Linked DNA regions of Callithrix jacchus. The protein of the gene in region 1 purifies or fractionates together with the protein of each later gene. This does not show direct contact. Links are inferred from orthologs where the notes say so. Each region holds a gene or a part of one and is shown in the gene's direction. Other genes may lie near its edges.

The links.
Region 2: the proteins of ESYT1 (region 1) and SYNJ2BP purify together in Homo sapiens (affinity purification with mass spectrometry; 4 studies listed by BioGRID and IntAct, with this or other methods). This does not show direct contact. The link is inferred for Callithrix jacchus from reciprocal best matches to the Homo sapiens genes ESYT1 and SYNJ2BP.
Region 3: the proteins of ESYT1 (region 1) and ATL3 purify together in Homo sapiens (affinity purification with mass spectrometry; 3 studies listed by BioGRID and IntAct, with this or other methods). This does not show direct contact. The link is inferred for Callithrix jacchus from reciprocal best matches to the Homo sapiens genes ESYT1 and ATL3.

What each region holds. Positions count from the first base shown.
Region 1 is NC_133510.1:63,536,914-63,541,030, reverse strand, and holds the start of ESYT1 (extended synaptotagmin-1), read left to right. Parts: upstream 1-1,308; 5' UTR 1,309-1,401; coding exon 1,402-1,791; intron 1,792-4,117. UniProt on the Homo sapiens protein: Binds calcium (via the C2 domains) and translocates to sites of contact between the endoplasmic reticulum and the cell membrane in response to increased cytosolic calcium levels.
Region 2 is NC_133509.1:105,382,822-105,386,993, reverse strand, and holds the start of SYNJ2BP (synaptojanin-2-binding protein), read left to right. Parts: upstream 1-1,228; 5' UTR 1,229-1,333; coding exon 1,334-1,397; intron 1,398-4,172. UniProt on the Homo sapiens protein: Regulates endocytosis of activin type 2 receptor kinases through the Ral/RALBP1-dependent pathway and may be involved in suppression of activin-induced signal transduction.
Region 3 is NC_133511.1:120,713,011-120,716,656, reverse strand, and holds part of ATL3 (atlastin-3), read left to right. Parts: coding exon 1-157; intron 158-292; coding exon 293-436; intron 437-3,646. UniProt on the Homo sapiens protein: Atlastin-3 (ATL3) is a membrane-anchored GTPase that mediates the GTP-dependent fusion of endoplasmic reticulum (ER) membranes, maintaining the continuous ER network. It facilitates the formation of three-way junctions where ER tubules intersect.

The sequences.
Region 1 (4,117 bases):
CCTGATGAAATCTATGCTCTGCTGAACCAGAAAAATTTATCAGCTGCAGGCCTCATCCTGTAAGACACTTCCTCTAACAAATGGCTAGTTTCTCCCCAATGATCAACCCCAGTTCTCTGCTGCATCTGACAGAGTTCCATAATATGCCCATATATACTGCAGTAAAGGTAATCATTTTATGACCAATACTTAAACTACCAATTAGCCTTATACCTAGATCCCAGGACAACACTCCACCTTTAAGGCCAGTTAACTAGTGTCCATAGTCATCAGTGTACTCTGCACTTTTTCCTTCCTAAACCTACACAGTACACTGTGGAACTACGTTAGTTCTGCACCTGACTGGCAAACTTTTCTTCTAACTCAGGCAAATGAGAAAGGGAATTGTCTTTCCCTTACTCTTGATTCCTCATTTTACTGTCCTAGAAGTTCCTCGGGGTCAGGAAATTATTGGAAAATGTAATAATTTCCACTGCCCCCCTCCCTTTTGGAGCCAACTAGTCTTACTCCATCCTCGATGATAGAGATGACTTACCAACTCTTGGAAATTTCCAAAAAGAAATAAAGCCTCACTTTCTATTCACTCCTCTGCTTCCCCCCCCCCGCTTTCCCTGAAGACTGGATTACCTCAACTCTGTACTTCTCTGATTCTCCAGTTTTCTCCACGGTCATTCGTTACACCACACAAACAAGGCAGGGGATGGGGACGGGATAGACAGGGTCAGTCTTCAAACAGTTTCATTCCAAATAAGATCGTGTCCTTTCCTTTTCTAAGAGCAGGCAGGGAAAAGTTGAAGGATAAGGAATGGGCTTAGAGTATGAAAAGTAGAGAAAGTCGGAAAAAGAACATATGGATATCCCAGACCAAATCCTGCCAAACTGTCCGAATGAGCAGAGGGAAATCATGAGGCTACACATCCACAACCCCTCAACTTCACAACTTGGGCTTTCTCCAAAACCCAGAAATTGGCGGTGCGGCTCTCCATGACGTCATACCACAGGCACTCCAATCCCACGTGGGGGAGCTCTTGGTCCCGCCTCTCCAGAAATGGTGCACCACGCCTCCTCCTCTTTATTACCAATCGAATGCCGCTTCTGAGCCCCTTTCTTCCTTTTCCCGCCATCCCAGACCTCCCATCTTGGCCTTCGGGCCCAATCAGGGAGGCCCTACCTATCAGAAACCCTATCCCTTCCCCGCGGAAGAGAGGAGGAGTTTCAACCTTTTAACTCCACCTTGGTCTGTGCAGCGCAGACCAACCCAAATCGCCAGAAAGGAGGGGCGTGGCTTGAAGTCCCCTCCTCCCTCCCGGGGATCACGTTTTGCTGTGGGGTAGCTGGTCGCAAGACTGGGATACCTCCAGCAGGTCCCCGGGTCGGGCAAATCCTCCCAGAGGTGACACAATGGAGCGGTCTCCAGGAGAGGGCCCCAGCCCCAGCCCCATGGACCAGCCTTCTGCTCCTTCCGACGCCACTGACCAGCCCCCCGCTGCTAACGCAAAGCCAGACCCAGGTTCCGGGGGCCAACCTGCTGGCCCTGGCGCAGCGGGTGAGGCCCTGGCGGTGCTGACTTCATTCGGAAGGCGGCTGCTGGTGCTGATACCGGTGTACCTGGCGGGTGCAGTGGGACTCAGCGTGGGTTTCGTGCTCTTCGGCCTCGCCCTCTATCTGGGCTGGCGCCGGGTCCGCGACGAGAAAGAACGGAGCCTTAGAGCAGCGAGGCAGCTACTGGACGACGAGGAGCAGCTCACGGCGAAAACTCTTTATATGAGTCATCGAGAGCTACCTGCCTGGGTGAGCGACTACCCTCGGTCCTCGGTGCAGCCTAGCCCCCTTCCACCCCTTCCGTCTGGGGCTTTCTCTCCTTATGCCTAGAGTCAGCTCCCCCGCCTTGCAACAGTGGGCCCCACACTTTCCCCTCTCTCCCCAGTAAGCCGCCTGCCTACTGGACGCGCCACTCTTAGGACCGGCTGCTCACTCTCCCCACCCACCCTTTCGCACGCCCAGACTGGATCCTTCCACAGAGTCAGGACTTCTTCCTCTACTCCTGGGCAACAGCAGTTAACAACATCTGGGAACCCCCATCTCAGCCGAAGCTCTCCCTCCTAGCCAAGCCATCTTGAACGCCCCTCTCGCTTTTGGTGCCACTCGCGCCTTTGCTGCTCCCAGAAATCCTGGTCCCGTTACTTCTCGAGGGTTTCCCTCGCCTCTCGCATCCTCCTCGAGACTATTTACCTACTTAAGGCCATACGGTTCTCCCTTTTCTTGCTTTTATCCCCGGGTACCCGCTGAAACCCAGCGCCGGCCCTCGGAAGGCGTTGGGCAGCCGCCTTCGAGCTTCAAGCAGCCAGGCTGCAGAGCGGCAGAGGAGGCTGCTGGACGGAGGGCGGGGTGTGGGAGGAGGTGGTGCGGTTGCTGCAGTGCCCGCGGCCCACACTCCCCCCCACACCCTGCCGGCCACACCCTTTTCCGGACTGTGGGCTGCGTTTGTTCCTTTGGGGCCGAGACCCTTGTTTCTGCGGCGGCTGCGTCTCCTGTGCTGAGGCGGATGCATGCTCTCTAGCCTTTCAGAGGCAAAGCCCGTTACCTGGCCCCTCCCAACAGACGTGCCAGTCTAGGAGAAGAATGGCAGCAGAGAGGGGCCGGGTGCGGTGGCTCATGCCTGTAATCCCAGCACTTTGGGAGGCCGAGGCGGGTGGATCACGAGGTCAAGAGATCGAGACCATCCTGGTCAACATGGTGAAACCCCGACTCTACTAAAAATACAAAAAATTAGCTGGGCACGGTGGCGCGCGCCTGTAATCCCAGCTACTCAGGAGGCTGAGGCAGGAGAATTGCCTGAACCCAGGAGGCTGAGGTTGCGGTGAGCCGAGATCGCGCCATTGCACTCCAGCCTGGGTAACAAGAGCGAAACTCCTTCTCAAAAAAAAGAATGGCAGCAGAGAGAGATCAAAATTGACACTAGGCAGACACAGCCAAGCTTCCCAGGCCCTGGACTGGAAACGGGAGGAGAAAAGGGGAGAAATGGCCCTACGGGACCTGTAGCCCAGGCTGCAACTGTCTGCCTTCTCATCATGGAAGCCAATCTTCCCACCCCCAATACAAAGCTCAGGTGTCCTTTCCCTTAAAAGGAGTCACAGAGGATAAGAAAAGAAAAAAAAAAAACACCAAAAACCCCACAGACAGGCCTAATTAGATCTTCTTGCCCCTCCCTGACTCGAGGACTTGCTTAACTCCTCACCTTCCTGCTCTAGAAGCCCCATCTGAGGGGAATTAGGAAGCCTGGAAAAAGGAACCAGGACTTTTTTTTTTTTTTTTTTTTTTTTAAGACGGAGTTTCATTATTTTCCCAGGCTACAGTGCAGTGGCACCATCTCGGCTCAGCACAACCTCTGCCTCCTGGGTTTAAGCGATTCTCCTGCCTCAGGCACTGGAGTAGCTGGGATTACAGGCATGAACCACCACGGCTAATTTTTTTTTTTTTTTGAGACGGAGTCTTGCTCTGCCAGGCTGGAGTGCAGTGGCGAAATCTCCGCTCACTGCAAACTCCGCCTCCTGGGTTCAAGCGATTCTTCTGCCTCAGCCTCCGTAGTAGCTGGGACCACAGGGGCGTGCCACCACGCCTAATTTTTGTATGTTTAGTAGAGACGGGGTTTCACCATGTTGGCCAGGATGGTCTCCAACTCCTGACCTCGGGTGATCCGCCTGCCTCGCCTTCCAAAGTGCTGGGATTACAGGTGTGAGCCACCGCGTCAGGCCCGAACCAGGACTTTTTGAGATGGAGTCTTGCTCTGTTGCCCAGGCTGGGGTGTAGTGGGGTACCATCTCAGCTCACCACAACCTCCACCTCCCGGGTTCAAGTGATTCTCCTGCCTCAGCCACCCCTGCCAGTAGCTGGGACTATAGGCGCCCCACCATGCCCAACTAATTTTTGTATTTTTAGTATAGATGGGGTTTCACTATGTTGGCCAGGCAGGTCTCGAACGCCTGACGTCATGATCCGCCCGCCTCGCCTCCCAAAGTGCTGGGATTACAGATGTGAGCCACTGTGCCCGCCTGGAACCAGGACTTTTTAAATCCTAGGATTCCCTCTGATTTGACTGGACCTCCCCCTCCAGAAA
Region 2 (4,172 bases), on another chromosome or scaffold:
CTCCCAAGTAGCTGGGATTACAGGCCTGGACCGTCACATCCAGCTAATTTTTTGTATTTTTAGTAGAGACAGCGTTTCTCCATTTCAGTCAGCCTGGTCTTAAACTCCCGACCTCAGGTGACCCACCTGCCTTGGCCTCCCAAAGTGCCGCTTTGGTTTTTTACTCTGAATTTGAATGTCTTTATATTGGCCTTGCACTTTCTAGTACTCTAAGATCCCCACCAATCCCTGTGGTCCTGGCTCTTAAGGCTTTTGTGTTTTTGACCCCTTAAGTTTCATTCAAGTTCAGTTTCGAATGTCTCATTCCAAAGGTCAGAAAGACTGGGCTAAAGTCTAAGTCGTGCATTAACCTTATTGTAACGGTTAAAAAATTAAAAAGATTGAATTTTCCCAGTTGCCAAAAGGATGAGACATTCCCCCACACCATTTCTTAAAAACTTTTCTTGAGCAAATTGTGATTATAATCTGTGCGTGTGTGTGTGTGTGTGTGTGTGTGTGTGTGTGTCTTTTTAAAAGCTAAATACCCAGGTACAAATAAAAAAATAAAAAATAAATAAGCCTCTTGTCAGATAAAAACCAGGAATTTTTTCCTAAGGTCCCAGGAGCCAACTCCTTGAAATGTAGGTATCAAGATAGCGCCCCTGTGTTCCACACTGCAGGAGTTAATCTAAGCACCTTGCTCCAAGCTTTAAATACCTGTTTGTCACAGAGATAACGTTTTATTTTTCCTTTGGATAAAGGCAACTAGCCAACACAGACGGCCACTCCAAGGGTAAACTACCAAAAAATTGAATACGAAACTATGTCAACTCGTCTTCCACGAGTACATGCGTGTGCTTTGGCTACATAAAAGATGAGATTTTCGTCTCTCTTTGCAATCTTATTAGTGGATTGCCTGTGACACCATTCCAGTCTGGTTCGATGCTTACAGAATAATACAACTTTTTTTCCTTTTCTACATTTGTTTAGATTTTCTAGGACGGCAGATTTTATTTTCTTTTTATTTTTTCTCGACAATATCAATTTGTTTAGGTCCCTTACTTTTACTAGCCACCCCCTTCCCACCTGCTTTCAATGGCAAATTAGAATGGTGGCTTGCCCCTTGCTCACCTCTTGCTTGACTTTGGGAAGCGGTGAAAAACTGCAACCCGTGGGCAGTAAGAACCACGATTCCCAGCATTCCCAGCGCTCCGAGTCCTTTGAACTTCCTTTTCCGGGTCTCGAGGCTGCTGAAACCGAAAGTGCTGTGCTGTGGGCGCAGCGCCGAGATTGATTCACCTTCACCTGCAGAACTCCAGCTGACCCACGTAGGAAGCCAGGCAAGCTGTAAAACATGAACGGAAGAGTGGATTATTTGGTCACTGAAGAAGAAATCAATCTTACCAGAGGACCCTCAGGTATGTGCGGAACAGGTCATTATCGGATAGTAGGGGATTAGAGGAGGTAATTGCCGACACCTCTGCTGCTGAGCGGGATTCACCTGGCCTCGGGGCAGGCAGGCCCCAACCTAGAGGTTTCCTGCAAAGCTTTGGGGTGCTTAGAGAAAATATATTGAATTCCATCATTAGCCAGATACGGGTCTGAGGAATCCACCTCAAAATCCAGTCGGGTGGCCACAAATATATATAGTCAAAAAGGGGTTCTTTCTGCAAATCCTGCTAGAAAAGCCTTTTTTAAAGCCTGCTTTTTTTAGACAGCTTACCTTGGGCACCACATCCTTCCGTTGCCTGTTCTATCACTCCCCCTACGAGGGATCGTTTAGTAAATTGGGAGCATAAACGGTGTGAACTCTGAATGCATAGCCGTTTTCCTCCAGCTGGGAACCCTTCCTCGCTCCTTTCGTTTCTGGGAAATTCATTTAGAGCGTCAACTAGAATGTTAAATCACGAAGAGCCCTTAGAAATCTTTTATTTACACAGTTTCCCTAACTTGGTTCTGCCACCAAATTACCCAGGGCTTTTTGGTTTTGCCTTTTATTTAAAAAATAAAAAAAGTTTAATTCCTGTGTCATTTGCAGGGATTTGGATTCAAAATGGGTGTGTCTGTGTGTATGTGTGTGTGTGTGTGTGTGAGTGTGTGTGTGTATATATATATATATATATATATATATTTTTTTTTTTTTTGTAATGAACACCTCATGTGATTTTGAGTAGCCAAACTGCTATCCTCTTCCTCCACTGAGGCTCTTCATTAAACCCGGCTCTTGACGTTACTGCGTTCTGCCTTCTATGGACTTTGTTGACTTTCCTTTACAGCTGTTTAGTTCATTGGTTAAAAGCTTTAGCTTTGGAATTACAGTATCTGGGTCCAAATCTTCTAACCTCTTACTGGTTCTTTGGTACTTATTGGCTATCTTAAGTGATGTAAGCCTTAGTTTACCATTTCTAAAATGGGGATGGTTGTAAATACACTTCGTAATGTTGTGAGAATGATGGAAAATGTTTACAACATTGCCAGACCCATGGTAGGCAGTGTCTCCTATTGTTATTGTTAATGGATGAATGGCTTAACTGACACAGTAAATTCTAATATTGTATTCCAAGAGTCTTTAATAAATCATCAAGTACTATGAGCTTCATTTCTGAAATGTTCCTGAAATTATTTCACTGCTATTTCCATTGCCACTACGTAAGGCAGTGCATCACCTTTTCTCATCTGCAGTTCTGCAGTAGCCTAATCATCATGGATAGATTATTCTTTATAAAATAGGACTTTCAGAATTACCCATACGTTGTGTCTTCTCTTCTTTTCTTTTCTTTTTTTTCTTTTTTGAGACAGGATCTCACTCTGTTGCCCAGGCTGGAGTGTAGTGGCACGATCCGAACTCACTGCAGCCTCTCCCTCCCAGGCTCAAGCAATCCTCCCATCTCAGCCTTTTGCGTAACTGGTACCACAGGTATACACTGCCATGTCTGGCTAATTTTTTTGCATTTTTAATAGAGACGATGTTTCGCTATGTTGCCCAGGCTGGTTTCGAACTCCTGAGTTCAAATGATCCACCCACCTCAGCCTCCCAAAGTGCTGGGATTATAGATGTGAGCCACTGCACCTGGCCTTCCTTTCTATTATAAAAAATTGGAAGTTGGTTTTACTTATTGGAATATAACTCATCACTAATATCATTATTATTATTTGTTTTTAGAGACGAAGTCTCACTTTGTTGCCCAGCATGGTCTTGAACTCCTGGACTCAGGCAGTCTTCCTGCCTTGGCCTCCTAAAGTGCTGGAATTACAGTCGTGAGCCACCACGCCTGGCTTGTCGCTAATCTTAATGGGTTAATGTCATGCTCCATTTGTGGACCGAAATTTTAGTCAAAGGCTCATTTGGTATGCCCAAGTTTCTTGGATTCATTTTTTTGCTATTTTATATAAATTTCTCCTTCACTCACTGTTAATATTTATTGACTTTTGAGGTTAACATAGAAAGTTACTTTTAAACCAAAATCTGTTTTTCTGTACTTTTCATTCATTGATAATTTGTTTTCTTAGTACCATTTAAAACAATGCTAGTTCCTTTTCTGATTGCTGTGCAAGTAGTAAAGGCTCTAGTTGTTCTGCTCCTGTTTTGCCACTTTCTTCTTTAGCCTAAATATCTTCAGTTATTTTTTATTTTATTTTATTTTATTTTTTTGAGATGGAGTCTTGTTCTGTTGTCAGGCTGGAGCTCAGTGGTGCCATCTTGGCTTACTGCAACCTCTACCTCCCGGGTTCAAGTGATTCTTCTGCCTCAGCCTCCCGAGTTGCTGGGGCTACAGGCGCATGCCACCACACCCAGCTAAGTTTTGTATTTTTAATAGAGACGGGGTTTCACCATGTTGGCCAGGATGGTATCGATATCCTGACCTTGTGATCTGCCCGCCTTCGTCTCCCAAATTGCTGGGATTATAGGCGTGAGCCACCGTGCCCAGCTCTTCACTTATTTTATTACCTCTCGAGATGTTTGAGATTTGATTTTTGCCTTTTGTTTAAGAATTTAATGTACTTTGACATAGTCCTTTTGCTGTGGCATCCACAGTGTTTTCAGATCTCCTGTCTAAAGCAGAGCAGAACCCTGATACTATCTCTTGTTCTAAACATGAAATCTTCTTAAAATTTAGTATAATGTCACTTCATCTTTTTTGGCATTTACAGTCATAAATTTCCTAGTGTTAGTATTTTCCCAAAACATTGGC
Region 3 (3,646 bases), on another chromosome or scaffold:
ACAACATTCCTTTGAGCTAGATGAGAAAGCCTTGGCCAGCATCCTCTTGCAGGACCACATCCGAGATCTTGATGTGGTGGTGGTTTCAGTGGCTGGTGCCTTCCGAAAGGGCAAGTCTTTCATTCTGGATTTTATGCTACGATACTTATATTCTCAGGTAAGATAGAATTATTTTATTTCAAGTAAAAAGTGAGACTTTAATGTTCAAAAAAGCAAAATAAGCTCATAGATTATCCTTGATGCAAAAAATTTTCAATTAAGATTTAATGGAAATTTCTTACTTCTTCTGCAGAAGGAAAGTGGCCGTTCAAATTGGTTGGGTGACCCAGAAGAACCATTAACAGGATTTTCATGGAGAGGGGGTTCTGATCCAGAAACCACTGGGATTCAGATCTGGAGTGAAGTTTTCACTGTGGTGAAGCCAGGTGGGAAGAAGGTAAGGATGAAAATGACATACAGATTAACAAAAACAGCTACACAATATGAACTTTGGCATGTACTGTGTTAATCCAATTAAAAAACCGTTTATCACAGAATTTAAAATGGGTAAAGTAAGAATTAACGTTAAAAGTCTCTGTTTTGTCCTGAAATTTCAGTCTGTTGTAGATAAATAGGATTTTCTGACACAGGTATGAAAAGTTACTGTATTATTTTAATTTTTTGGAAAAGCATTTTTGCTAAAAGCTGTGCAGACTTTTTCCTTTGTACTTAGCAGTACTTTATGTTGTATTGCTTAGAGCCATGTAGGATTTTAAGATTTAATTAAAAAATTATTAATCTGTGGCTTACTGTTAATTCCTATTTCAACATGCTTTTCCTTGAATAATTCAGGTTACAACTTCTTGTGTATGAAAGCTTTCCTTCACACACTATTTTTGTGGGTGTGTGTATATCCAACTTGGGGAGAATTTGAAAAACACATAGCTTTTTAATTTGTTTGAAGCAAACTGTTTCTGCCTGTTCGGTCTGTTACATTTTGTGTTCTTTACCAACTAAAGAAGCCGATGGCATTTTGAGTTTTATATTGTGTTTTCCACTGGTATATACCTGTTGATTTGTTTGTGCCTTTTATTTATTTATTTATTTATTTATTTTTTATTTTTATTTTTTGAGACGGAGTTTCGCTCTTGTTACCCAGGCTGGAGTGCTATGGCGCAATCTCGGCTCACCGCAACCTCCGCCTCCCGGGTTCAGGCAATTCTCCTGCCTCAGCCTCCCGAGTAGCTGGGATTACAGGCACACGCCACTGTGCCCAGCTATTTTTTTGTATTTTTAATAGAGACGGGGTTTCACCATGTTGACCAGAATGGTCTCGATCTCTTGACCTCGTGATCCACCCGTCTCGGCCTCCCAAAGTGCTGGGATTACAGGCTTGAGCCACCGTGCCCGGCCTGTGCCTTTTATTAACTGCAATTTTCTGAAATTTTTTTTAGTCAAAGGAAAGAAGATGTGAAAACAAAAACCTTTTATCAAAGCAAATGATTTAAACATAATGATTGTCTTTAAGATTCCTCAAAAATGCATGAATGTAGTGTGAAAAGTCATACTGAAAGTCCTCTAACAGAAAGCAACTGTCATATATGTTATTCTCCTCTCTGCCTCATCTTCACTTCCCAGAGGCTGATATTCTTACCTGTTATCACTTCTGCTCTTTACTTCCTTATTCCTGTATGAGTGGCACAGACCTGGCTGCTTTTGTTCTGGGAGTTGAGCAGGGAAATCACATTGGTGATCTCACTGTTCAGAAAGTGGGCATTTACTACCCCCAGCTATCAGTAGGGCTTCTTAACCCCAGTCTCATCCATGCCAGATAAGGTATGGCCATAGAGCCTCTTCACAGATTTCTCTGTAAGCGTCGAGAGGAGTAAGTCATAAGTCAGGTAAGTCATGTGTTTCTTTCTTTCTTTCTTTTTTTTTTGAGACAGAGTCTTGCTCTGTCACCCAGGCTGGAGTGTAGTGGCCCGATCTTGGCTCACTGCAACCTCTGCTTCCTGGGTTCAAGTGATTCTCTTGCCTCAGCCTCCTGAGTAGCTGGGATTACAGACGCATGCCACCATGCCCAGCTAATTTTTGTATTTTTAGTAGAGATAGGGTTTCACCATGATAGTCAGGCTGGCCTCTAACTCCTGACCTCATGATCCGTTCACTTTGGCCTCCCAAAGTGCTGGGATTACAAGCATGAGCGACCGCACCCGGCTGTCATGTGTTTCTTATACAGACTTCTTTCATTCATTTCATCTGTTTTAACTCCATCCTACAAGTATGCTTTCACAGCTATTTGTGATTTGTGCTTTTTTTTTTGTTTTGTTTTGTTTTGAGATGGAGTCCCGCTCTGTCACTCAGGCTAATGTGCAATGGCGCGATCTCAGTTCACTGCACTCTCCACCTCCACCTCCCGGATTTAGGGAATTCTCCTGCCTCAGCCTCCCGAGTAGTTGGTATTACAAGCGTGCACCACCACGTTTAGCTAATTTTTGTATTTGTAGTTAACATGGGGTTTCCTCATCTTGGCCAGGCTGTTCTTGAACTCCTGACCTCAGGTGATCCTCAGCCTCTCGAAGTGCTGGGATTACAGGTGTGAGCCACCACACCTGGCCAGGAACTTTTTAGGAAAAAGAGAATAGGTCAGGTGCGGTGGCTCACGCCTATAATCCCAGCACTTTGGGAGGCTGAGGTGGGAGAATCAGTTGAGGCCAAGAGTTTGAGACCAGCCTGTGCAATATAGTGAGACTCCATCTCTACAAGAAATAAAATGAGCTGAGTGTGATGGCATTCACCTGTAATCCCAGCTACTTGGGAAGGCTGAGGTGGGAGGATGACCTGAGCCCAGGAGGTCAAGAGTGAGACCCTGTCTCAAAAAAAATAAAAATTAAAAAAATAAAAAAAAAGAAAGAGGAGAATATAGGATAATAAGGAGTTATAATATTGACATTTAAATTTTTTTTTTTGAGACAGAGTCTCATTCTTGTTGTCCAGGCTAGAGTGCAGTAGTGCGATCTTGGCTACTGCAACCTCCGCCTCCTGGGTTCAAGTCATTCTCCTACCTCAGCCTCCCAAGTAGCTGGGATTACAGGCATATGCCACCGCACCTGGCTAATTTTTGTATTTTCAGTAGAGACAAGGTTTCACCATCTTGACCAGGCTGGTCTTGAACTCCTGACCTCATGATCCACCCATCTTGGCCTCCCAAAGTGCTGGGATTACAGTCATGAGCCACTGTGCCCGGCCTAGTCTTTTAATTTTTAAAATAATTTTTATTGAGATAAAATTGACATTCCATTTCTTTCCTCCCAGCTTTTGTGCTATGGTCTCTTATTTTTATTTTATTTTTTGAGATAAGTTCTCCTCTGTCTCCCAGACTGGAGCTCAGTGACATGATCATGGCGCACTATAGCCTCGACTTCCCAGGGTCAGGTGATCTTCCCACCTCAGCCTCCTGAACAGCTGGAACCACAGGCATTGCTCCACCATGCCCAACTAATTTTTTATATTTTTATAGAGATGGGGTTTTGCTGTGTTGCCCAGTCTGGAATAGTCTGTTTTCTTAAAGACATTTAAATTAAAGAGTCATGTGTTACCCATATAGTTACCATTAGCCTTGCTCTTTATTTTTCAATTTGTCTGGTATAATTTTTCCTTTAGCCTG